6 linked regions of the Sus scrofa genome follow. The protein of the gene in region 5 purifies or fractionates together with the protein of the main gene of each other region. This does not show direct contact. Links are inferred from orthologs where the notes say so. Each region holds a gene or a part of one and is shown on either strand. Other genes may lie near its edges.

Region 1 (3,500 bases), on a different chromosome or scaffold from region 5:
CAAGAACTAGTCCAGGCTGGATAGGGGCAGCAAAAAGGGACATGTAAGCAAAAACTGTATACCCTTAGATCCATTTAATTCATGGTCTTTGCTAAGATCACCAGTTCAAGGGGATAGCAGAGATTAGAATGAAATCTATAAATTCTTCAGAAATAAGCCAACACAACTGGTTGTTTCTTACCCTGAGCAAGGTAAACAAAAGATAAAGGCTTATTCACTTCAATCCTGATTGGCCCTTCTTAGTTCTAAGTCAACAATGGGGAATTCTTGACATTTAGTATTACCTGAGCAAGTCGGTGGGAGTAAAACGTGTGGATTTTGCCAGATGGGAACTGACATTTGGAGCAGGGACCAGGATCAGCCTTAGTCTAGAAGCTCTGTGCAAGAGCCTGTCATCTAAACAGATGAACTGGGGGTGTGGACACAATTGCTCTCACTTTGACACAACTAAGATAGTCATTACTTTATCTACCAAAGGCCCTATGGAAGGTGGCTTATCACTCAACAACCGAGTCCCAGTGTACCCGTCCGTCCCCTCCTATGCTGGCTACTCGGGACAGAAACAAACATTTTCTGCCTTTCTAGCCTCCCACCACCTAGACTGCAAGGGAAATCAAGGACAGAGTAACCAGCCTTGGGTGCAGGGATTTGCTCTGACCACAGAGCAGAGCAAGACCACCCACAAAGACAACTACTGCTTTGACCTGGGTGTGCTGTAGTCTGGGGCAGACTGACTTTCATCCAACCTTGCTCAGAATTTACCTCAGTTCTGAGATGCCTCAGGTTTACATCCTGTTACATCCTGGCTGGCTCTGCCGGTCACCTTACCCCACCCTGGAACCCAGTCATCTTACCCCATCTGGCTCTTGATCGGATCATCGTGCTGAACTTCAACATTTTCTCTTCCCATTACATCTCCTGTCCCTGGCACTCAGCAATTGGTCCCCGATGCAGAAACAGAGAACTCTGGCCAGAAGCTCACAGAGGCCTGCCCACCCCCAAAGGGCCCTCTGTCCTTCCCTGCTGTGTGGTACCTGCAGGTGCTGCTGCTCTTCCTGGAAAGTCTTCTCCAGCTGCTCCACTCTGGCCTGCTGCTGGGCCTGCTCTGCACACAGCTGGGACTGTAAATCGTGCAGTTCCTGCTCCATTTTCACAATTTTCTTTGAGTTTCCCTTTTGGGTTTGTTTTTTCACATTCAGAACAGCGATCTGTTTTTCCTGCATCTGTGTTTTCAGCTTTAGAATCCTGGACATGGTGACCTTAAACAGCTCTAAGCTGCTCTGAGATGCTGAAGGGTTTGAGGCTTTCTGCTTCCTGTGCTGAAGCTCTACGACTTTTGCAGGGACTGGATAAACATGAGCCCCCAGGGCCTTCCCACTTGGCTGAAGACAAGTCAACTTAGGATCCAAATATTCATTGAGCTGACCAGCCACTTTACCTTTCTCATGTGACTTCACTGGTTGACCAGGTTCACAAGACACTTTACTTATTTTGGATTTCAAAGTTGAGGGGCCTTCAGCTCCAGAACCCTCTAACTCATCCAAATTAAACTTCCTTTTAGTTCTCAAGCCCTTATTCTTTTCCATCATTTGGTCACTCTTTAGGGACAGACAAGGATAAACCCTCTCCCAGTCGTCTTCGGTAACTTCATATTCATACTCCGCATTCTCCTTATTTTCCAGAGGCACCCCAAGCTGGATGTGGTCTCCCTCATGGATAGAATAGACCTTTAAAGGTTCTAGACGTTCTCTGTTCAGCCAAACACCATTCAGACTCTGGGGAAAGGGAAAAAAAGATAACATAAGCTTCATGATTTTCCTCCTCTAATAGAATTTCTCTCTTGCTGCTGCAAAACCTTCTGTCTTTTCAAGGAAACCCCTTAAGAACAAATAGAAACAAAGGTTCATAAACCGCCATCCTTACAAACAGCATTTTTTAAATAGCGCTCTGGCTTTTTACCTCTGTGATGTTCACACCTCCAGACAACTGCCTGTCTAATAGGCAGGGATCTCCTTGTTACTGGTGGATAAATTATTCAAACAAATGCAGCCGGATTAAAAGAAAGCAAAACTGAATAGCTCCTATTGGCCTAAACTAGAGGCAATGGCCCAAGACTGGAAAAGCTGCTATTAGTGATGGAAGCAGTGTCTAACAATGAGGTTCCAAAGGTACACTTGGCCAAGAAAGTCATGCAAGTACTCTCTCTGGATGCGGCCCCTGAATACATTGGTGAATGAGAAAACCCTTCCCAGGATATACACACCAAAAAAGAAAGCACCAGTACCTTGTGCTGGGGTCAAATTGCACAGGGGATATGATCCAATTAATAGATCTATGGGCATAGTGGTTAAGACCTGGACTCAGACAAATTTGGGTTTCCAGCCCAAATGCACCACCTTGGGCTTAGTCGCATGGGCCTGGACAATTTCCTTAATCTCTCTGTACCTCAGTTTTGTCCGTAAAATGGGGATAGTATACAGTTTCTGCCTCATACTTCTCCTGTGAGGAATGACAGAGCTAATACATATAAAACACTTAGCAGAGTGACTCACATGTAATGAATACTCCATATGGACTTCTGTGGTTTAAATTAAAAAGCAGTGTAGGAGTTAAGAGCATGGACCCCAGGACAGGACTGTCTGGGTGTGTAATCTGCTCCATCACTTAACTGCTGCATGATTTGGGCAAGTTTCTTAACCTCTCTAGGCGCCAGTTTCCACATCTATAAAATGGAAGATATAATAGTCTCTTCTTCATGGTGTTTGTGTGGATTTAATGAGATAACATATGCAATGTACTTAGAAAAGTACCCGGCACATGGTAAGCATTATCTAAGTGTTTGCTTCTCTTACTGTGTTCTGGTTCAACTGATTTATCAACAATCACTTCAATTCCATGCTCAGCATCTTGCAAGGTAAATATACTGAGCACAAAAGCAAAAGATATGAAAACAACTTTGAGCAGCTGACTGTGGAAGGGAAAACACAAGGGCTTATTTAAGCAAATGTGGGATTACACAGCACAGCCCATAAATGCAAAGGAATATCATGTAGAGCAGGGTGAGCGAAGAGATGCTCAATGGGGACACAGGTCCTAAAACAGACTTGAAAGAAAGGCAGGATTTAAAGTCTAAAGAGACAAGTGGGTGTTTTAACCCATATCAAGGACTTAATGTGGGGGGACAGGCCAGAGGTGAGGTCACATCTGACTGGGACGAAGGGCTAATATGTTTATGTCAGTAACAAGAGCCATCTACTCTAACCTAGACAAAACAGTTAACAGTTAACCCAAATATGAAGGACAGGGAGCTGGACTACAAGGCACAGAGGTACAGGGGAGTAAGAGATGCCATCTCAGCTCTGGTTTGGTATTAGGCCCTTGTTTCTGGTTCTATGCTATTTGGCTCAAGTGAGGAGAGGGAGAGAAAGACAAGCATAGAAATACACAGAAAGACTGGCTTTAACTCCCTGCTTTGGACCTAACCTGGCTTACCTGCCAAC
Region 2 (2,711 bases), about 85 Mb from region 5:
CCAATTCTCACCACTCCCTTCCCCACTGCTTGGCAGCATCTGACCTGGGTAACTGCCCCCTGACTGGGCTTCCATTAAACCAGTCACAGGGTCTCCCCGGCCACGTGGGCCACTCTGTCCAGCAGGGAGGAAACGGCAGCCAGCACAATGGCCCCAGACGTGACATCTCAAGAGAGCAGACCGAACTTTTTTGTTTTAATTTTAAATCTTTCACATGTCTTCCTGCAACAATTGGGCAGGACAAAAGTGTTGGAAAGGAAAAAGGGCGAGATGTTATGTTAGAAAGTTTTGCAGCATCACTTAAAATGTTGACAATCACACGTGGTGTAGTTTATAGCAACCAGCCACCCATCTAGCTGGGCTCCTAAATAGCCGGTGTTACCATCTGAAGAGTGGGAAAATATATTTTAAAATAATAACGTTCCCTCTGCAACAGGAATCAGGAATTCAGTCTGGTTGGGGATAGGAGAAACTGGAAGCTGGAGGCAGGAGGCAGGAGCTACAAATGTATCTCCTAATTTTATTACTTAAAACATCCATCAGGCTGGTACACACGGTGTCATTTAGTCACACATGGGACAGTTTTACTGTCAGTACAGCAGTAACCACACAGCACACTACATGTCTAGGGGCACTTTGAGTTCCGTCTGACTGCACACACCTGGAGAAAGGGGACATTTATGACTGGAAATGGACTATGTACCAAAACACGAGGCCCACACAGACCCAACTCAGCATCGCCCACTGAACATGACCTTCCTAGGGCTGAAAGGTGGCCTACACCCTCAGTGCACAAAGAGTTGGGGCACCATTAGGCCCACCATCAATCATCGAAGCAGATTTATGGACGTGTGGGCACCTTGCAGGTGAAATTCACCACCAGTTAGGTTTTTGTTTGTTTCTGCATTGGAGGCGTGTGTAAGTTCCCGGGCTAGGGATCGAGTGCCACATCAGTGACCAGAACTGCTGCAGTGACAAGGCCTTAACCCACTGTGCCACAAGAGAACTCCTACTAGGGTTATTTTTAAAGAAAAAAATCTATCAATTTTCAATGCATCTAAGGGAGCAGACTTACAACTAAAAAATAATGAATACCTAATTACTAAAAATAGCTTCTGCGGAAAATAATGGTTCTCAACCTTGGTGGGCACAAGATCAGGTGAGTTTATTAAAAATAATAATAATACTCCAGGCCTGGGAGTTGCTATTGTGGCTCAGCAGAAACGAATCTGACAAGCATCCATGAGGACTCAGGTTCGATCCCTAGCCTCGCTCAGTGGCTTAAGGATCTGGCATTGCCATGAGCTGTGATGTAGGTTGTGGATGCGGCTCGGATCCTGTGTTGCTGTGGCTGTAGTGTAGGCCAGCGGCTATAGCTCCGATTCGACTCCTAGCCTGGGAACCTCCATATCCCATAGGTGCCACTCTAAAAAAAAAAAAGAAAAAAAAGCAGGCCTGGGCCCAGTCATCACATTCTAAATGGGCCTGTGGTAACACCCATGTATTTGCATTTTTAATCTCTGGCCCAGGTGATTTTGATGTGGTGGTGTATGTGCTTCATGGGAAATCCTGCCCAAGTTCACTCAAAACGTGAAACACACTGATTGCCCACCACATACACGATTCATTCTTAGCACTAACCCTTCAACGACTGAGAATTTCTGATCCAAGTATTCCTACGAGTTCAAATGTGATTTTCTGCTCTAATATTATCGAAATATTAATGTGCTTCTGTCACAGGTCCTGTGACAGACACTAGTTCTGCACACAACATTAAGAAGAAGTCTCAGCAAAAAGAAAGTCTTATCATGGTGGTACATCACTAAGAGAAGATGAAGCAGAATAAAAGTAAAATAAAAATTTACTGTTTTTATTTCACACAAAAAAGTTAAGTAGTGGTCATCTTGGTCCATCGTCTATGTCCTTTCTGAACATCAGGAGTCTAGCTCAGGGTCAAGTTTTTCTACTTTAATGACCGTCTCTGAAGCTAAAGCAGCAGCACTGGCCTGCTGGTTCTCTGCTTCCGACTCAGATAACACTTCTTCCTTTATTTTTATGGGCTTGTTACTGGCCTCCTCCTCTTCGTCTGAAGACTCATCCAGCTCCCATTCATCATCTATGTCCATTTCAAACACTCTCACATGACGGAGATTTGAGCTTAACTAAAGAAAAGGCCAAATTAAGAAAGAAAATTTAATGGCTTAACTAATACATTATATATAATCAGAAATCTGAATAAAGAGCGGTTTTGTGGGAAAGTTATTTTCCCATCAATTTACAACAAAATCACTAACCCAGCTTTCATTTCATATAAAAGGATCTCCACATACAGTGAAAATTTCATGATAATTAAAATCTCAATGTGTTAGTTACTTAGTGAGCTTTCTCAGAACAAGAGAACTGAACAGCTAAGGCCACTATGGGCTCATAATCAAAAGCTTTACATCGCAAAATGTTTGCACTGAGAAGCCTCCACAGTCCCAAGTCCCTTCCTTTGTTAAACACTCACCACACAGGACACTTTTCGAAAACCATTCCCAGCAACGTACTGGGCTTTCATACTTTCCAGTAACCTCCAGTGCTTCTCGAAATGCATGGTCCGGGTGGGAATAGCACTCCGCTGCTCATCCAGCCTAGACAGGGAAGAAACCAGCCCCAGAGTGAAATGGGGCTCTTCCCCCTGGTTTACCAGAGGGGGTATCAGGGTTTGA
Region 3 (4,214 bases), on a different chromosome or scaffold from region 5:
AACACATTACAAAGGTCCCCAAGCTGTAGACATGTATATATAAGAAACTCACAGTTAAGAAGAAAGCTTTACCCTCTAAAGAGGGAATAAAGTTGCCTCTACATGGTGGTGCCCTGTTCACATATCAGTATCTCTATACCTGGGAAAAGGTGAATCTGTGTGTTGCTTGTCCAATCCCTCTCTCGTTGCTCTTCTGGGCAAAAGAGTCCTTGGGTGCCTGTAGAGCAAGGGTCTCCATATTCTCAATACGGACACAACCCTAAGAAGAGGGAAAACTGTCACCGAAGGAAAACATTCCTGGGAGCCTCTACTGTATTGCAGCATTCCACTTTTAATCCTCCCTCCTCAGAAACTCACCTGATCCTCCTGTCGTTCTAACTCTGAAGGTAAAAAGGGCCTGACCCTCAGGTATACTTTGACTTTCTCCATGCTTCCTTCAGATGGAACCTGTGACAGAATTCCAGGCCAGAACCACAGATTAATCTCAGCAGTTACTTCTGAGCAGATGGGCAAATATAAAATAGTTTCTGGAGTTCCCGTTGTGGCTCAGTGGTTGATGAACCTGACTAGTATCCAGGAGGATGAGGGTTCAATCCCTGGCCTCGCTAAGTGGGTTAAGGATCTGGTGTTGCCATGAGCTGTGGTGTAGGTCAAAGACATAGCTCGGATCCCACATTGCTGTGGCTGTGGTGTAGGCCGGCAGCTGCAGCTCCAATTGGACCCCTAGCCTGGGAACCTCTATATGCTGCAGGTGTGGCCCTGGAAAGACAAAAGACAAAAAAATAATAGAAGTAAAATAAAATAGTTCCTGGAAATCATGTTAACACTACCATATTCCACCTCTAATGACTGTGTGCAGCTACTCAGGTTCCATAATCACTCCAACCCACATGGACTTTTTCACTACTTAATCATCTTTCTTGTCGTTTTAGAATCCTGAAAGCCTGGCTTACCACAGATTATCTGGGTTAGAACTTTCTGAATGGCATGAAAATTAGTGTGTGATATTATGGCAAAACATAGTAGTTAAGCACCTTAGAGGCAGACACACCTGAATTTCAGTCCCAATTCCATCATTAAGAAACCATGAGATCTTTTTTTTTCGGCCACCCATTGGATTCCTGGGCCAGGGATCCAATCAGAGCTGGAGTTGCAACCTATGCCACAGCTGCAGCATGGCTGGATCCTTCACCCACTGTGTCTGTGCCGGGGCGGGGACCAAACCTGAATTGCTGCCACTGCAAAGACACCATTGATCCTGTTGTGCCACAGCGGGAACTCCTGAGATCTTGAACAAGTTCTTTAAGTTTTCTTTACCTCAGTTCCCTCATCTGTAGAATGGGGTTAATAATAGCACCCACCAAGTTCATTCAACAGATATTTAGAGATCAGAGATCTCTCTACTCCGGTGCAGGAAATCTTATAGGATCCAGTAGTTCACAGTGAAGGACATTAACAAAGGCCCTGCTCTCATAAAACTTCTACAAGAGATGTCTGAGTAGAGCTGTTCTTAACCATGACATTTAGTAATGCCAGAACAAATTTCCTGGATGTCCTGGGAAGGAGCTACTGACATCTAGTGGGTAGAGACCAAGAATGCCGCTTAACATTTTACACTGCACAGAACTGCCCCCTATAACAAAGAATCATCTGGCCCCAGGCATCAAGAATGCTGCAGCTGAGACATCTCAGCAGAAAGCAAGCCCCCTTTTAAGTGCAAGCTATGGGTTCATATTAAAGCCTGAATATGTCTGGACTTCATGGTGAAGGAGATCTAACTACTGCCTTCTCTCATAGGATTAACTGAGTATGCATTTGAGAATGTTTCATTACGGCAATGCAGTTAATAGATTTCTTAGAGACACACAATTGTACATTTTTTACTTGTCTTGTCCTTAATTTTCAGTTGATCTCTCAAACCCTAAGAATGCAGGGTTTTGACCTCCTGCTACTTTGTAGGGATAACTAGTATGCTGAGGATATGACTTTCTGCCCCCAAGCCAATTCAACTCCTTTACCTGCTGCTTGTCGTCCAGGGAGGTGGAGATGACAGAGCAGTCTGACAGCAGTTCCTTGCGCACCACAGACCCCAAATCTGCAGCAGTGGACTCAAACATGGGGGAGACTACGACTTCCTCATCCGACAACAAGCCGGCTGGTGGAGAGAGGATCCCTTGCGACATGTTAGCAGGGGAAGCCTAGATCTAAAGAGAGACAAAAGTGGGTAGGGAGGAGAACCTTATGGGATAAAAAGGGCTGCAAATTCTGAGTAAGAACCAATTCCTAGGCCCCAAGACAACTTGGTCTCACTGGCTGAATTCCTGCTCCTCTTTCCCTTCAACTACTAGCAAAGAGAAAGGAAATGAGAGAGAGAGTTAATCATTTAATCCAGTCTGAGGCGGCATTTCCGACCGCGAACAGGAATGAGCAGACACCCAGCTCCAAAAGCAGAAGGCCACACTCCAAGTACGGTGTCTTGCTCTCCGGTGTCGTGGAGGTGGTGTCAGTAGCCCTGGGCTCCTTCAGTCTCTCCCCCAGGCCCACAGTGAGGACAGAGGTATTAAAAAAAAAAAAAAAAAAAAAAAGGATGGCGGCAGTTCTTCTTTCTGAAAGCCTAATTCGCGAGGGCAAGAGCAGGTACCGCAGCTGGGCTCCAGTAGAGCCTCATACTCACCGAAGACACCGCACGTCTCCTCCGGTACCGGCTCACTCACACCCCGCGACGGAACCTGAACCTTCGCAGCTAGACAGCACAACCCCGCCCACGAGGCTCACCTTTGTTACTGATACAATGTTTTAAATTACGCGCTGCGTTCGTTGAGCCAATCAGATAGCGAAACCTGAACCTACCAATCAGCGCAAGGGGACAGACGAGACTGGGAAACGGCTTATTCCGGCCTGACCGCTCTGCTCAAAAGTGGGTCCGGGTTACCAACTGTCGAGGCTTGGTGTTGGGTGATCCTGCAATTCCGCCTTATTACTTTTTCTTGAACCCTGAGGCATCAGCTGCCGTGTTTTGTTCTTTATCACATTCCTTCCCAGGAACGCACAAGAGACCCGGTTTAGGGCACTTGTTCTTCCTGGGGTGGGGTGGGGGACTACATTTCCCAGGAAGCACCGCAACCAAACACCGGGACTCTATTTCCCAGAGTTCTTTTTCTTATACTTTCTTTTTTTAAGGCGTAGCGGACGCTGACGCTCTTCCCTCAGGAGTTGGAGACTTCCGAGCCAAAATGGCGGCAGGGACGGGCAGTAAGTATTTGCACCGCCTTTGTGTGGTAAGTCTTTGTAGAGCCGAGGCCAGGCAACAGCATAGAGAGTAGGAGCAGTGATTTGCCTGAGAGCCCAGGGAGGGCACGAGACTTGAACTCGACGGTGTAGTGAAGCCCAACGGCCGGGGGCCTAGAAGTGTAGTCTTCTCAGTAAGGCCGCCGAGGTTTGAGATAAGCAGCTCAGCGAAATCTTTGTATGTTGGGGAGCTCTGCGGGGTGAGCTGAAAAGGTGCCCTACAGACGGACCGAGACGTTGTGCGCCTTAAGGAGTGGCCGGCATCCCAAAGAGTCATTCAGTTTCTGACGAACGTTTATGAGGCCACTAGTCACAGAGAAATGGGGAGTTTTAACCGCGAGCTTTTTCTGCCACTGGGGAAATCACATTTCGGGCATCTCAGTCATTTATCTCTGTTTCACGGACTGAATATGGCTTTTAGGCCCGGCCAGGGGAAAGGGGAGCGGTGTTACTGAAAGAAGTAAACAACTTTATGCTAAGAAGGAGGCGGGACGGAGGGGAGGTGGCCGCTCGGAATCCTGGGAAATAAGCCCTTAGGTCCAAATTGGAATAAAGCGTTTTTTAAAATTGAGTCTTTCGGGGAGCTGCCCTATCTTAATCTGACATTACTTTTTTTTTTTTTAAACTAAACCATTGTGCCCATGGCATTTGAAGGCAAAACATTTTATTTCTTCAAATACCATAGGCACACTGTTTTAGTTAGGTTATTTACTAGAAAGGTGAAGAATCAAGATTTGGTGATAGTAGCTCACGTTGTCCTTATAGGTTGGGATGTTTAGGCTTTTAGTCTTCTCTTTGAGGCTTAGAACTAGTGTCTCAGTGGTTTTCTATAAGTCTTCTCTACTTTCAGAACATAAGCTGCTGAGTACTGGCCCTACAGAGCCATGGTCCATCCGAGAGAAGCTGTGTTTAGCGTCTTCAGTCAT
Region 4 (3,500 bases), on a different chromosome or scaffold from region 5:
TTAAAACTGGAAACAACTTCTTCAGTTTTATTTTTGGCTGCACCTGCAGCATAAGTCGCTCTTAGACATCTTGCTCATGAGATCCTTTTCACTGAGAGGGGAAAAAAAAATACACACACACACACACACACACACACACACACACACACACACACATTCATTTACCTTCCTCCTCCCAAAAACAGAAGTCCAAGGGCCATGTGATGGGCTAAATGGAAACCATAGTTCATTTCACCACCTGTTTTCATGTGCAAGAAGCGACAAAGCTGCAAAACCTTCAAGTTCCCCGAGCCAGCCATCACCATGGCCAGAGACAGCAGCACCGCACTGAGGCAAGTCTCCAGATTGTAAGGACCTGTCTAGAGACGAGAAAGGTAACATACTACAACCCTGGTGCAACATTTTCTTTCTTTCTTTTTTTTTTTTTTTTTTTTTAATTTTTTTGGCCACCACTAGGCATAGTGAGGTCCCAGGCCAGAGATCAGATCCGAGCTGCAGCTGCAGTCTAATACCGACCGGATGGTTAACCCACCGTGCCAGGCTAGGGATCAAACCTGCGGTCCAGCACTGCAGAGATGCTTCTGATCCCATTGCGCCCCAGGGGGAAGCCCTGCATTTTCTTTTATCAAAACTCAATCGGCCATCATTAGACTACAAATGTTTACAACTTTTAAAAACCTGAAAAAACAAATATTTTCCCAGATGATGGAATTTAAGTTCAGTGTCAAAAATTCAGAAGAGAAAGCATCAAAAAGGAAATAAGAATCACTTGGAATACTAACAGCTATACACATCTGGCTTTCTTTTTTCTCCATATCTTTTCCAATATCTTTTTTCTTTTTTTAATGAAACAGATATTACTACAATATTTTTAAGCTTTCGAATCTATTATAAGCAATCTCCACTCAAAAAATTCTTACAGAACCTGATTTTGATATAGCTCCTCTATACAACAATGTAAATATACCATAGTTCATTTTTTGATTACCTTTAGGACTTTTTATGTTTCCAATTTTCTAATATTATAAATAATGTTGACTAAATCTGTGTGGGGTTGGGTTTTTTTTTTTTGGGGCCAGGAAATAAATCTGCAGTCTTACTATCATCAGAGCAGTAATCCTCAAAAGCAATTGCATTTTGACTAAGAACTAATCTTTTCAAAAAGCAATTACCAGCATTCAGTACTGAGAATGGAGTAAGGCAACACAGAAGTGATTGAATTATCAGTGAGTTTTCTTCAAGTTTAATTTTATTCCCAAGGAGAATCATCATAAAAAGACTTACTACAGAAGCATTAGGTGCAGACAAATAAGTCATAAAATCTTTTGCAAATTTATGCTGGAAAAACAAAAGAAAAAAATTTAAGGTTAAAAGAAGCATACTAAGGCTCTGTAAAAAATAAAATAGAACAGAGTAAATGAAGATATTTCTTACCAAACAGTTAAATGCCGATAAGTTTTCTGAGCCAGCGAATCGAAAACCCAGAGACAAACAAGCTCCTGCAATTATGTAGACATGCGCTTGCCTGGAAACAGACCACAAGAAATTTAAATATTGTCCCTGTTTTGCTTTAAAATTTATTATTACTATTATTTGGGGGTAAAAATAATAAATATTCCTGTTCTCTATCCTTCTGGGAACGCTCAATTGTGCCTCTGCTCAATCAACACATTTCTGTCTACTGTTCTTCAGCAGAAGCATCATCTATTTGGCTGTGAGAGTGTGCCTCTTGCCTGCACTGTTTCATATGCAGCAAAATATAATTTCTAACAATCACTGCCATTTTTTTTAAACAGGAAGGATAAAAGAGCAATTTAACACAAATTAAAATCTCCAGCATTGTTTTTTGAGGATATAAACTCTACACTTTAGAAAGCTAAAAAATCAAACTTGTGAACATCAGATAAACAATGGTTAGAAACGTGGCAGATTCAGAATCACTCAAACCAAAACAGTATTACTCCTATACAGTATATTTCAATTCATTTATCTGACAGGTGCTAGAGTAGCTAGTCTGTATTATACAATTCATGACTTACGACAAAGTTTCCAAATTCAAATCCTCTGAGCAAGGCAACTCAATTTCACTGAGAGAGATACTATTTTCTCTTATAATCTGTCAAGATAAAAACAAGAACATGTGGACATTAAATTCAAGTTACAGGTATTTAATAATTTGAAGAATACATACTGCTTATTATGGCTTTATTTACATAAAATAAGCTTTATCAAACCATTTCATTCAGAGGCCTATATTGAATGCAATCACATTTCTCATTGAATGAAATCCAATTTCAAATCTAAGATGGGCCAAATAACAGGACTAAATGAATATAAATGAATATAAACTGGCGGACTTTAGTACATTCTGAATCAATAACAGAGTAATAATATTTCACACCAGTCAACTAAAATAAAAAGATGATGACCACAGGAGTTCCCGTCGTGGTGCCACAGAAACGAATCTGACTAGCAACCATGAGGTTGTGGGTTTGATCACTGGCCTCGCTCAGAGGGTTAAGGATATGGCCATTGCCGTGAGCTGTGGTGTAGGTTGCAGATGTGGCTACTAGAAGGTAGGCTTCTAGTATTAAGCCTACCTACCTACCAAAGGTGAAGTTTGTTACTAGATTCACTACCCAAGCTAAACTAAACCATCTACGTTAATCTATAACTAGGGTTTACAAACACTTCCCTTTCAGCATAGGTAGTGAATAAGAATGTTTTTTAAAAAACACAGATTATCTAGCTTTAACAAACAAGAACTTACTTGATTCACTTCACTTAAAAAATACAAATTAAAAAAAAGGTGGAGTTCCCATCGTGACTCAGTGGTAACGAACCCGACTAGGATCCATGAGGACGCGGGTTCGCTCCCTGGCCTTGCTCAGTGTGTTACAGATATGGCGTTGCTGCGAGCGGGGGTGGAAGTCCAAGATGCAGCTTGGATCCCACGTGGCTATGGCTGTGGCATAGGCCAGCAGCTGAAGCTCTGATTTGACCCCTGGGAACTTCCATATGCTGCAGTTACAGAACCCCTCCCCCCCAAAAAAGATAAAGGTATATATTTTCTAAACGTATGCATATAAGTACACAGAAGTAAAACTTTTAATATTTATTCCTATATTTTCTTTTTTTTTTAAACAGCCACACCTGCAGCACCTGGGAGCTCCCAGGTTAGTGTTCCAACCAGAGCTACAGCTGCTAGCCCATGCCACACCCATTGCAATGTGGGATCCAAGCCATATGCGTGACCCACACGACAGCTTGCAGCAACACCAGATCCTTCGCCCACTGAGGGAGGCCAGGGATCAAACCCGCATCCTTATGGACACTATGTCAGGTTCCCGACCCACTGAGCCACAAGAGGAACTCCTATTCCTATAATTCTTTTTAGAAGACTGTTCAGAAAGCATCAGGATGCTTTCTATAATAAACCAATAAGTATTCAGAAGATGCTTATGATAAAATCTTCTTATGTACTGCAAATCATCAAATCA
Region 5 (4,140 bases):
TGGCATTTGCAGCAACATGGATGGACCTAGAAACTATCATACTAGGTGAAGTTTGTAAGACAGTGAGACACCAATGTCATATGCTATCACTTATATGGGGAATCTAAAAAAAGGATACAGTGAACTTCTTTGCGGAAGAGATACTGACTCAGACTTTCAAAAACTTACGGTTTCCAAGAAGACACGTTGGGGGTTGGGGGATGGGCTGGGGGTTTGGGATGGAAATGCTGTAAAATTGGGTTGTGATGATTGTTGTACAACTATAAATGTAATAAAATTCATTGAGTTAAAAAAATCAAGCTGCTTGAAACAAAAAAGATTCATTTAAAATTAAAAACATGGAAGCAACATAAATGTCCACTGACAGAGGAATGGATAAAGAAGATGTGGTACATATATACAATGGAATATTACTCAGCCATAAAAAAGAATGAAATAATGCCATTTGCAGCAACATGGATGGACCTAGAGATTATCATACTAAGTGAAGTTAGTGAAAGACAAACATGATAGCACTTAATGTGGAATCTTAAAAAAAAAAAAAAAATACAAATGAAGTTATTTGCAGAACAGAGACTTTGAAAAACTTATGGTAACCAAAGGGGAGAAGTGGGGGAAGAGGGATGGGGTGGGGGATTGATTTGGGATTGGCATATGCACACTGAGGTATATGGAATGCTTGCCCAATAGGGACCTGCTGTATAGTACAGGGAACTCCACCAAACAGTCTGTGATGGGCTACATGGGAAAGAAATCTGAAGAAGAATGCATGTGTATACATGTATAACTGAATCACTGTGTTGTACAGCAGAAATTATTACAACATTGTAAATCAACTATACCTCAGTAAAAACTTAAAAAAAAAATAAATAAAGATGAGGGCTGTAGTGTTTTTTAGAACTTTGGAAGATCAATGTGTGGATATGGAAAAATATCCTACAACACAGAAAAATTAGAAATGAGAACCCTAGGTGGAGACAAACATGAAAGAGAAACTAGAAATTTTAGAAGAAAGAAGAGGAATAGATGGAGAACAAGTATTAATTAAACAATACTGACACTTCTTGAGCTAAAAGGAAAAAATAAGTATTCAGACTCACATGTAGGATTTAAGACAAGACAATGGAAACAGGTGAAAAGTAAGAAAATTCTAATGGTGCTCTGTTATTTGGTAGTTGTTCTTTTTAAAGTTTAGTCCCCAGGTTGAATTCAGTTTTGCTTCCTTCATCTTAATGATGGCTTTAGACTCCATGCAGCTACAAATATATATATAGTGGATTTTTCTCAGATAATGAACACCAATATAATTATGTAAAATTCCAACATGTTCCATTTGGTCACATAAACTGCAACACTCATTTCTAAAGGAGTTGATGGGAATTGTTTCATTAAGCCGTATCGCGTTCCTAACATGAAAATATTCAGCCCACTCAAAATGGGGTAAAGATGGGACTTCTTTTTGATTTATTTTCTTCCTCCCAGTTATTTCACTATATTTGAGATGGTAGTGTGTTTTACACCACCAGGTATACAGATGAAAAATGACCAGCAAGCTGCTAGAAAATGGATCCTAGAATGCTGGCAAAACTCAAAACTGTTTCCAACAATGAAATACCTTTTAGTTGTTCCACCACATTATTTAGGTATTTTATGAGCTCAGGATCAGTAGTTACAAGCAAGGTAAGTCCGTATTTCTGTACTCGAGTAAAGGTTTCAGATGGATATATGCCACGCTGATATAAAATGCTGTTGATGCCAAACGCTGAAAACAAAAGAAATGTTAAAAGTCATTTTCATTTTGTAATTCTGAGAAATAAAACATATTTAGTCATGTGGCTATGGTTTCATTAATGGTGTAAAGCTGTAAATGTTTAAACACGCGTTTGTGTTTTGCTCAAAGGTACAAAGTGAAATTAAAAAGCTTTAAAATTTTGCTTCTAAACAAAAAAGTGGTATCTGCATTTAAGTGGCAATAAAAGAAACATGGCAAACTGCATTTATCTACCAGTGCCAAATTTCATTTCATTGTAAAACAATTCTAAATTCAGACTTTATGGTTAGAGGATGTCAAAAGAAGCAACTGAGTCGTCCAACGCCCAGGCAATCCTCTCCTTTTTTTCCTCCTTTTCTTCTCACAAGTCCTGCCAGGTTCTATCAGAAGGTGCAACTGGCCTGGTCCAGAAGAACGCCTCCCCAAGTCTAGCCCATTACCGTCAATCCTGATTCACCTCGGGGTGGGTATGGGGTTTGCTCCCGGCTAAGCGGTTATATCGCCAGGCAGGCCTCAGCAGAACCTAGGCCGCCTCCTCCACCATTAGCAACGCATCCGGAAGAGGCGCCTGCATCCGCCTCTTCCAGATCCCTCCTGCCTGGCAGTACGCTGAGACTGAGAGGGCTCGGATTCGCGTCCGCTCTGACCCAATGGGTTCTCCCCGCCACCGTACCGAGCCGCGGGCCTACTTGGCGGCCTGGGCACAGTTCTCCCCGCTCTCCGGCCTGCGCGAGAAGGACTTACAGAAGAACTCCGCCACGATTTCGGCGCTCCCGCGCAGGGTAATGCCTTGCTCCCGGGAGAGCTGCAGCGCCATGGCCAGGCCCACGGATGAAGAGACGCGCTTTCACGCGGCAACCAGCCACACCAGTGACTTCCAGAGTAGTTCCCCGCCACCGGTTTCAAAAGTAACGACGCAGGACGCCGTCGACTCTTTCGCGCAGGCGCAACGAGCCTTTAGGCCCCGCCCTTACACCACGGGGTCTGGCTTGTTTTCTCCTTCCTCGCGTAGCCGCTCTTCGCGCCTGCGCAGTGGGTGGACGTGCTCACGCTGTTGAGTCGTTGCGTCGCGGTGGGTTCCTTGTGGAACTCCTGCGGTAGTTGGTTGGCTAGCTGGGGGCTTGCGGCAAAGACGGTATATCGCGGTTTTAGTGGCCGCGCCTTGAGTCTTCAGGCAGAAGGGGTAAGGAGCACAACTCCTGAGTTTGAAAGATATTTTGAAAATGCTCCGATCTGTCTGCTAGCTGTACCTTAAGTAGCCCCAGTGATTCTTAGTGGGCGGGCGGAACTCCTCAGATGCTTTGGGAGTTTCTAAAGCTACTGCGTGCGCACCACAGTTTTATTAGAGACCCTGATTACTTGTGGGCGCGCGGCTTTTCCTGAGAAATTGGTTTAGGGATTAAAGGGATGAACTGCGTCCATTCTTCTTTCCCTTGTCTGTTCTGGGCAAAGCTCACGTCTACTCCTCACCCCGACCCTCTGCTAGGCTCAGTCTGGGGGCAGCCTGAGGCTGTCTCTGATGGTCCAGCTTGCACTCTGCACCCCGCCATCCTTCGGCGACTGGTCAGGAGTAAGGTCACTTCACCAAAAAGGCCTTTCAACACTGAAGAACTTTTCCGTGAATTTTGAATTTTATTGTTAGGATGAGAAGTACTAAAGAGATAGCGCGCAACTAATGTGCATGTCAGTTGTTTTGAAACAAGTTTATTCTTAAAGTGGGTAGAAAAAATGTAAAATGAAATCTGAAAAACTTAACCACCTTACATAATGTTATTTAATTGTATGAAAAAATGCCTGAGTGTATTAGTTTTCTATTGCTGCATAATAAATTACCACAAATGAGTGGCTTAAAACAACACCCATTTATTATCAGTCCTTCAGTCAGGAGCATGGCGTGGCATAGGTGAGTTCTCTACTGTAGTCTTCACAAGTTTGAAATAAGGGTATTTGTCTGCAAGTGGGATCTTACCTAAAATCAGGGGTCCTCTTCTGAGGCCCTTGGTTCTTGGTAGACTTAATATCCTTGTTCTTGGACTGATGTCCTCACTGGCTTGCCAGCTGTTGGCAGAGGCCAGTCTTGTGCTTTTGCCAGGTAGCCCTTCCATAAATCTCAGGCTTCCAGTCTCTGACTTCTGGGAGGTCCCTTTTAAAGGCTCAAGTGATTAGGTCAGACCCAGTCAGATAATTTCCTCTTTGATGAACTTAATCCTCAAAGTGATAACTCCTAATAATCACTACTCTGGCCACACTAAAGTGGAGGGATTCTATAGGATAGGCTCCCTGGAGGCCACAAATTTTGAGGACGCCCTTAGAACTCTGCCTATTCAGTGTTATATATCAAAACTTGATCAGTTTAAAGACTGAAACAG
Region 6 (3,500 bases), on a different chromosome or scaffold from region 5:
ATAACTTTATAGACACACAGACAACCCTCAAAGAAATCACTTCTGTATTAAGCAGTAAGAATACCACTATTTATTTAGTATTTACTATGTACCAGGCACAGTGCTTGCTAAGAGCTTTACATGGAATAATCATTTAATCCTTATTTAATACCTAATAAGGTAGATATAGACAAGGAAATTTGTTAGTAACTTGTCCAAGATAACAGATAGTAAAGGTAGTATTCTTCAGAGCTTAAGTTCTTAACTACTACAGTAGGTAGAAACATGGGAAAGTACTCACAATACTTTGATTTGAAAAAGCAGAATATAAAATATATACTACATATAACCCTATAAAAATATGTATATGCGTTGGCAAGGCCAGGAAGATGATCTACACAAATGAAAACAGATGTTATAGTGGTGTGGCTGGTTATGAGTGAAATAGTTCTTTAATGTTGTTAGTATACCTTAAGAAAAAATTTTCAGAAGTCATAAATTCACAAACAACTCTTCTACCATACTATTATTACTCTGTTTTCAACTGTGGATACAAAGTGTATTTGCAGAACTCCTGTTACATTGTTCCCTGCCTCCTCTACCCCTCATCAACCTTCCCCCCGGGGAGGCTAAGTGCCTACCTTAGTGCTATACTATACTGGTCCATTGCTTCCTGATACTCATTGACAGCTACAAGGAAATCTCCTAGGATCCGATGCAGGACACAGTCACTCTGATTAGCTAGTGCATTCCTCAACAAAGCAATTCCATCTTCATATTTCTGTTCTCTGCCTGAAAAGAAAAAGACCCTTATTTTCCTACTTACACAATGTTTCGAAATATATTCCCATTGCAAGTCATATATGTAAAACCACAACAGGAGTTCCCATTGTGGCTCAGTGGTTAACGAATCTGACTAGGAACCATGAGGTTGCAGGTTCAATCCCTGGCCTCCCTCAGTGTGTTAAGGATCTGGTGTTGTCGTGAGCTGTGGTGTAGGTCGCAGACGCGGCTCGGATCCCATGTTGCTATGGCTCTGGCATAGGCCAGTGGCTACAGCTCCGATTAGCCCCCTAGCCTGGGAACCTCCATATGCCGCAGGAGTGGCTCAAGAAAAGGCAAAAAGACAAAAAAAAAAAAAAAAAAAAAAAAAACCCACCACAACAATAATGAAATTCTGACATCAGATTGTGACAGATCTGAGATCCCTATTTATAGATGTCAAGAGAACAGTAGCGTGGCAGGGAGTGAGAATGAGCACATTTGAATACCTAATCCATTAGGAAATGTGCAGTTTGAGTTCTGATTTTTATTTATTTATTATTTATTTATTTAGTCAGTCTTTTTAGGGCTGTACCCACGGTATATAGAAGTTGCCACGCTAGGGGCTGAATAGAAGCTGTAGCTGCCAGCCTACACCACAGCCACAGCAAAGAGGGATCTGAGCTGCATCTGTGACCTACACACAGACTCACAACAATCCCGGATCCTTAACCCACTGATCAAGGCTGGGGAATGAAGCCAAGGCCTCATGGATATTACGTTCATTACCACTGTGCTATGACAGGAACTCCAGAGTTCTGATTTTTAAAAATTTATCCTTAACAAAGTTCAAAGAAAGAGTCAAAATGTATTTTATTAGCCAAACTAGCCCAAACTCAGTTCATCATAAATCAGGACTTAGAAAACCAAGGCTAAAAGGGAAATTATAAGGGAACCAAAATAGGTCAAAATAGTTCAAACTGGCTATGACCAGTTATATTTGGCCCAAATTAGTTGAGGACAAAGTGAGGTGAACAGGTACTAGCCAAAGTATAGCTGGTTTGAGCCACTCCACAAAAGTCAGTCCCTGCCAATTCAAGGTCTAAGCTAAATATAAACCAATGCACAGGGGCCCAGACCTACTGCAAAAGCAGTACCTGTTTGATCATCTGTAACCAGCTGGGACTAGGGAATCCCAACTGAAATCAGGTTTTACACAATTAATGAGTTACAGGGAAGTAAACAAGATACACTTACTAAGTAGTTCTGCTTTTTTCACCACAGCCTTAATGTAATCCGGTCTTTGGGTCAGGGCTTTATCTAATAAAGTTTTGGCTTTCTCCTGTGTCACTGGGTCTTCAAGACAAACGGTGGCTAAAAGGGTAAGGGTCTGTGCATTTGCTCCTAGAGTTTTGTAAACATTGTTAGCCATTACCATTGCTTCTCGAATACTGTTGGAGGCTAAGTAACATTCGATGAGACCTGAAAAAATATAACAGAAATTTCAACCACATTACCATTCCAAGACACGATTCCACCCTGACAGCCTTTCAAATTGCAAACTTTCATAGTTTCAAACAAAAAGCAGGCCAGGAGAAATCTCTAATGGTGAGATTAGACCAGAGGGTATGCTGATAGAAGAGCTAAGAAGTGCTCTTTCCCAGAGGACTTGATGGATGTGGAAAAAGCCTGCCGTGTAAAGGCACCTTCAGTTAGCGAAGGAAACAAACATGCATAAAATAAACCAAAGCATGTTGGCAGCACAGCTGAAAGAGTAATAAATGTGACACTACTCATTAATTGAAACTGTGTAAGATGAGGTTTCTAGCAAAACCCAAGGTTTTGCTGCCTCCTAACAAGCTGTTAATTTCCAGGTGAGCTCAGTCACTTTTAGCCCTACATTTAAGGGGGAGGGCTCCTTAAGTACCCAGGGAGCAACCTACAGAGAAAGGAAGACTTTTTGTGTTTCACTGGAAACATAAAAGTTATCTCAAAAGGCATTTGCTGAGAGCTTCCTTAAACTAGATGGAAAGGGCTTAATTAGACGGACCAAAATACACCAAGATCGGCAGCTCCTGCCTCTTTCCATAACCAAAGCAAGATGCTCCAAGGGGACACTTCAAGTAGAGGTCAACTCTCAACTCTTCATGCCAAGAAATGAAGAACAGAGGAAATACTTTCTGGGACAAAGTACTCACAGAAAAACAGCTTAAACTCCAAACTCACACAGTGGCAGATTTTTTTTTTCCTGGTCTGTTTTTTTAGGGCCACACCTGCAGCATACGGAGGTTCCTAGGCTAGGGGTCTAATGGGAGCTACAGCTGTGGCCTACGCCACAGCAACGCAGGATCCAAGCCGTGTCTGCGACCTACATCAGAGCTCACAGCAACGCTGGATCCTTAACCCACTGAGCGAGGCCAGAGATCGAACCCACAACCTCATCGGATTAGTTTCCACTGCACCACGATGGGAACTCCTCCCCGGCAGATTTTCTCTGCATATTCCTCCACCCTAGCGGCATTTATAATGTTTGTGCACACTCTATCATACACTACAGTTACTTAACAAGAAATTACCTCTTAAGGGCAACATGTTGGATTCGGAATATGGCTGTTTGCAACTTCTCACTGAATAGCTTTCCTTTCCTGCTAAAGCCACACTGGAAGTTCAAAGGGAAATGTTAAAACCATACTTCGCTAATCCAGAGCTCCCACCAGTAAAGGAAGCTCTGCTGGAGGCTGCAAGAAGCACCAGAGGAC

What was found.
Region 1: the proteins of MAD2L1 (region 5) and RNF8 purify together in Homo sapiens (co-immunoprecipitation; 3 studies listed by BioGRID and IntAct, with this or other methods). This does not show direct contact. The link is inferred for Sus scrofa from reciprocal best matches to the Homo sapiens genes MAD2L1 and RNF8.
Region 2: the proteins of MAD2L1 (region 5) and ANAPC4 purify together in Homo sapiens (affinity purification with western blotting; 14 studies listed by BioGRID and IntAct, with this or other methods). This does not show direct contact. The link is inferred for Sus scrofa from reciprocal best matches to the Homo sapiens genes MAD2L1 and ANAPC4.
Region 3: the proteins of MAD2L1 (region 5) and KIF20A purify together in Homo sapiens (affinity purification with mass spectrometry; 4 studies listed by BioGRID and IntAct, with this or other methods). This does not show direct contact. The link is inferred for Sus scrofa from reciprocal best matches to the Homo sapiens genes MAD2L1 and KIF20A.
Region 4: the proteins of MAD2L1 (region 5) and ANAPC1 purify together in Homo sapiens (affinity purification with mass spectrometry; 3 studies listed by BioGRID and IntAct, with this or other methods). This does not show direct contact. The link is inferred for Sus scrofa from reciprocal best matches to the Homo sapiens genes MAD2L1 and ANAPC1.
Region 6: the proteins of MAD2L1 (region 5) and ANAPC7 purify together in Homo sapiens (affinity purification with mass spectrometry; 3 studies listed by BioGRID and IntAct, with this or other methods). This does not show direct contact. The link is inferred for Sus scrofa from reciprocal best matches to the Homo sapiens genes MAD2L1 and ANAPC7.

What each region holds. Positions count from the first base shown.
Region 1 is NC_010449.5:32,948,812-32,952,311, reverse strand, and holds part of RNF8 (E3 ubiquitin-protein ligase RNF8), read right to left. Parts: coding exon of another isoform or gene 3,493-3,500; intron 1,776-3,492; coding exon 1,035-1,775; intron 1-1,034. UniProt on the Homo sapiens protein: E3 ubiquitin-protein ligase that plays a key role in DNA damage signaling via 2 distinct roles: by mediating the 'Lys-63'-linked ubiquitination of histones H2A and H2AX and promoting the recruitment of DNA repair proteins at double-strand breaks (DSBs) sites, and by catalyzing 'Lys-48'-linked ubiquitination to remove target proteins from DNA damage sites.
Region 2 is NC_010450.4:19,339,253-19,341,963, reverse strand, and holds the end of ANAPC4 (anaphase-promoting complex subunit 4), read right to left. Parts: intron 2,634-2,711; coding exon 2,510-2,633; intron 2,163-2,509; coding exon 1,935-2,162; 3' UTR 501-1,934; downstream 1-500. UniProt on the Homo sapiens protein: Component of the anaphase promoting complex/cyclosome (APC/C), a cell cycle-regulated E3 ubiquitin ligase that controls progression through mitosis and the G1 phase of the cell cycle.
Region 3 is NC_010444.4:140,200,902-140,205,115, reverse strand, and holds the start of KIF20A (kinesin-like protein KIF20A), read right to left. Parts: upstream 2,801-4,214; 5' UTR 2,675-2,800; intron 2,205-2,674; 5' UTR 2,184-2,204; coding exon 2,019-2,183; intron 448-2,018; coding exon 358-447; intron 260-357; coding exon 140-259; intron 1-139. UniProt on the Homo sapiens protein: Mitotic kinesin required for chromosome passenger complex (CPC)-mediated cytokinesis. Following phosphorylation by PLK1, involved in recruitment of PLK1 to the central spindle. Interacts with guanosine triphosphate (GTP)-bound forms of RAB6A and RAB6B.
Region 4 is NC_010445.4:44,574,461-44,577,960, reverse strand, and holds part of ANAPC1 (anaphase-promoting complex subunit 1), read right to left. Parts: intron 2,117-3,500; coding exon 2,040-2,116; intron 1,526-2,039; coding exon 1,435-1,525; intron 1,339-1,434; coding exon 1,285-1,338; intron 360-1,284; coding exon 166-359; intron 1-165. UniProt on the Homo sapiens protein: Component of the anaphase promoting complex/cyclosome (APC/C), a cell cycle-regulated E3 ubiquitin ligase that controls progression through mitosis and the G1 phase of the cell cycle.
Region 5 is NC_010450.4:103,926,018-103,930,157, reverse strand, and holds the start of MAD2L1 (mitotic spindle assembly checkpoint protein MAD2A), read right to left. Parts: upstream 2,801-4,140; 5' UTR 2,589-2,800; coding exon 2,516-2,588; intron 1,763-2,515; coding exon 1,616-1,762; intron 1-1,615. UniProt on the Homo sapiens protein: Component of the spindle-assembly checkpoint that prevents the onset of anaphase until all chromosomes are properly aligned at the metaphase plate.
Region 6 is NC_010456.5:31,765,751-31,769,250, forward strand, and holds part of ANAPC7 (anaphase-promoting complex subunit 7), read right to left. Parts: intron 2,224-3,500; coding exon 1,999-2,223; intron 772-1,998; coding exon 621-771; intron 1-620. UniProt on the Homo sapiens protein: Component of the anaphase promoting complex/cyclosome (APC/C), a cell cycle-regulated E3 ubiquitin ligase that controls progression through mitosis and the G1 phase of the cell cycle.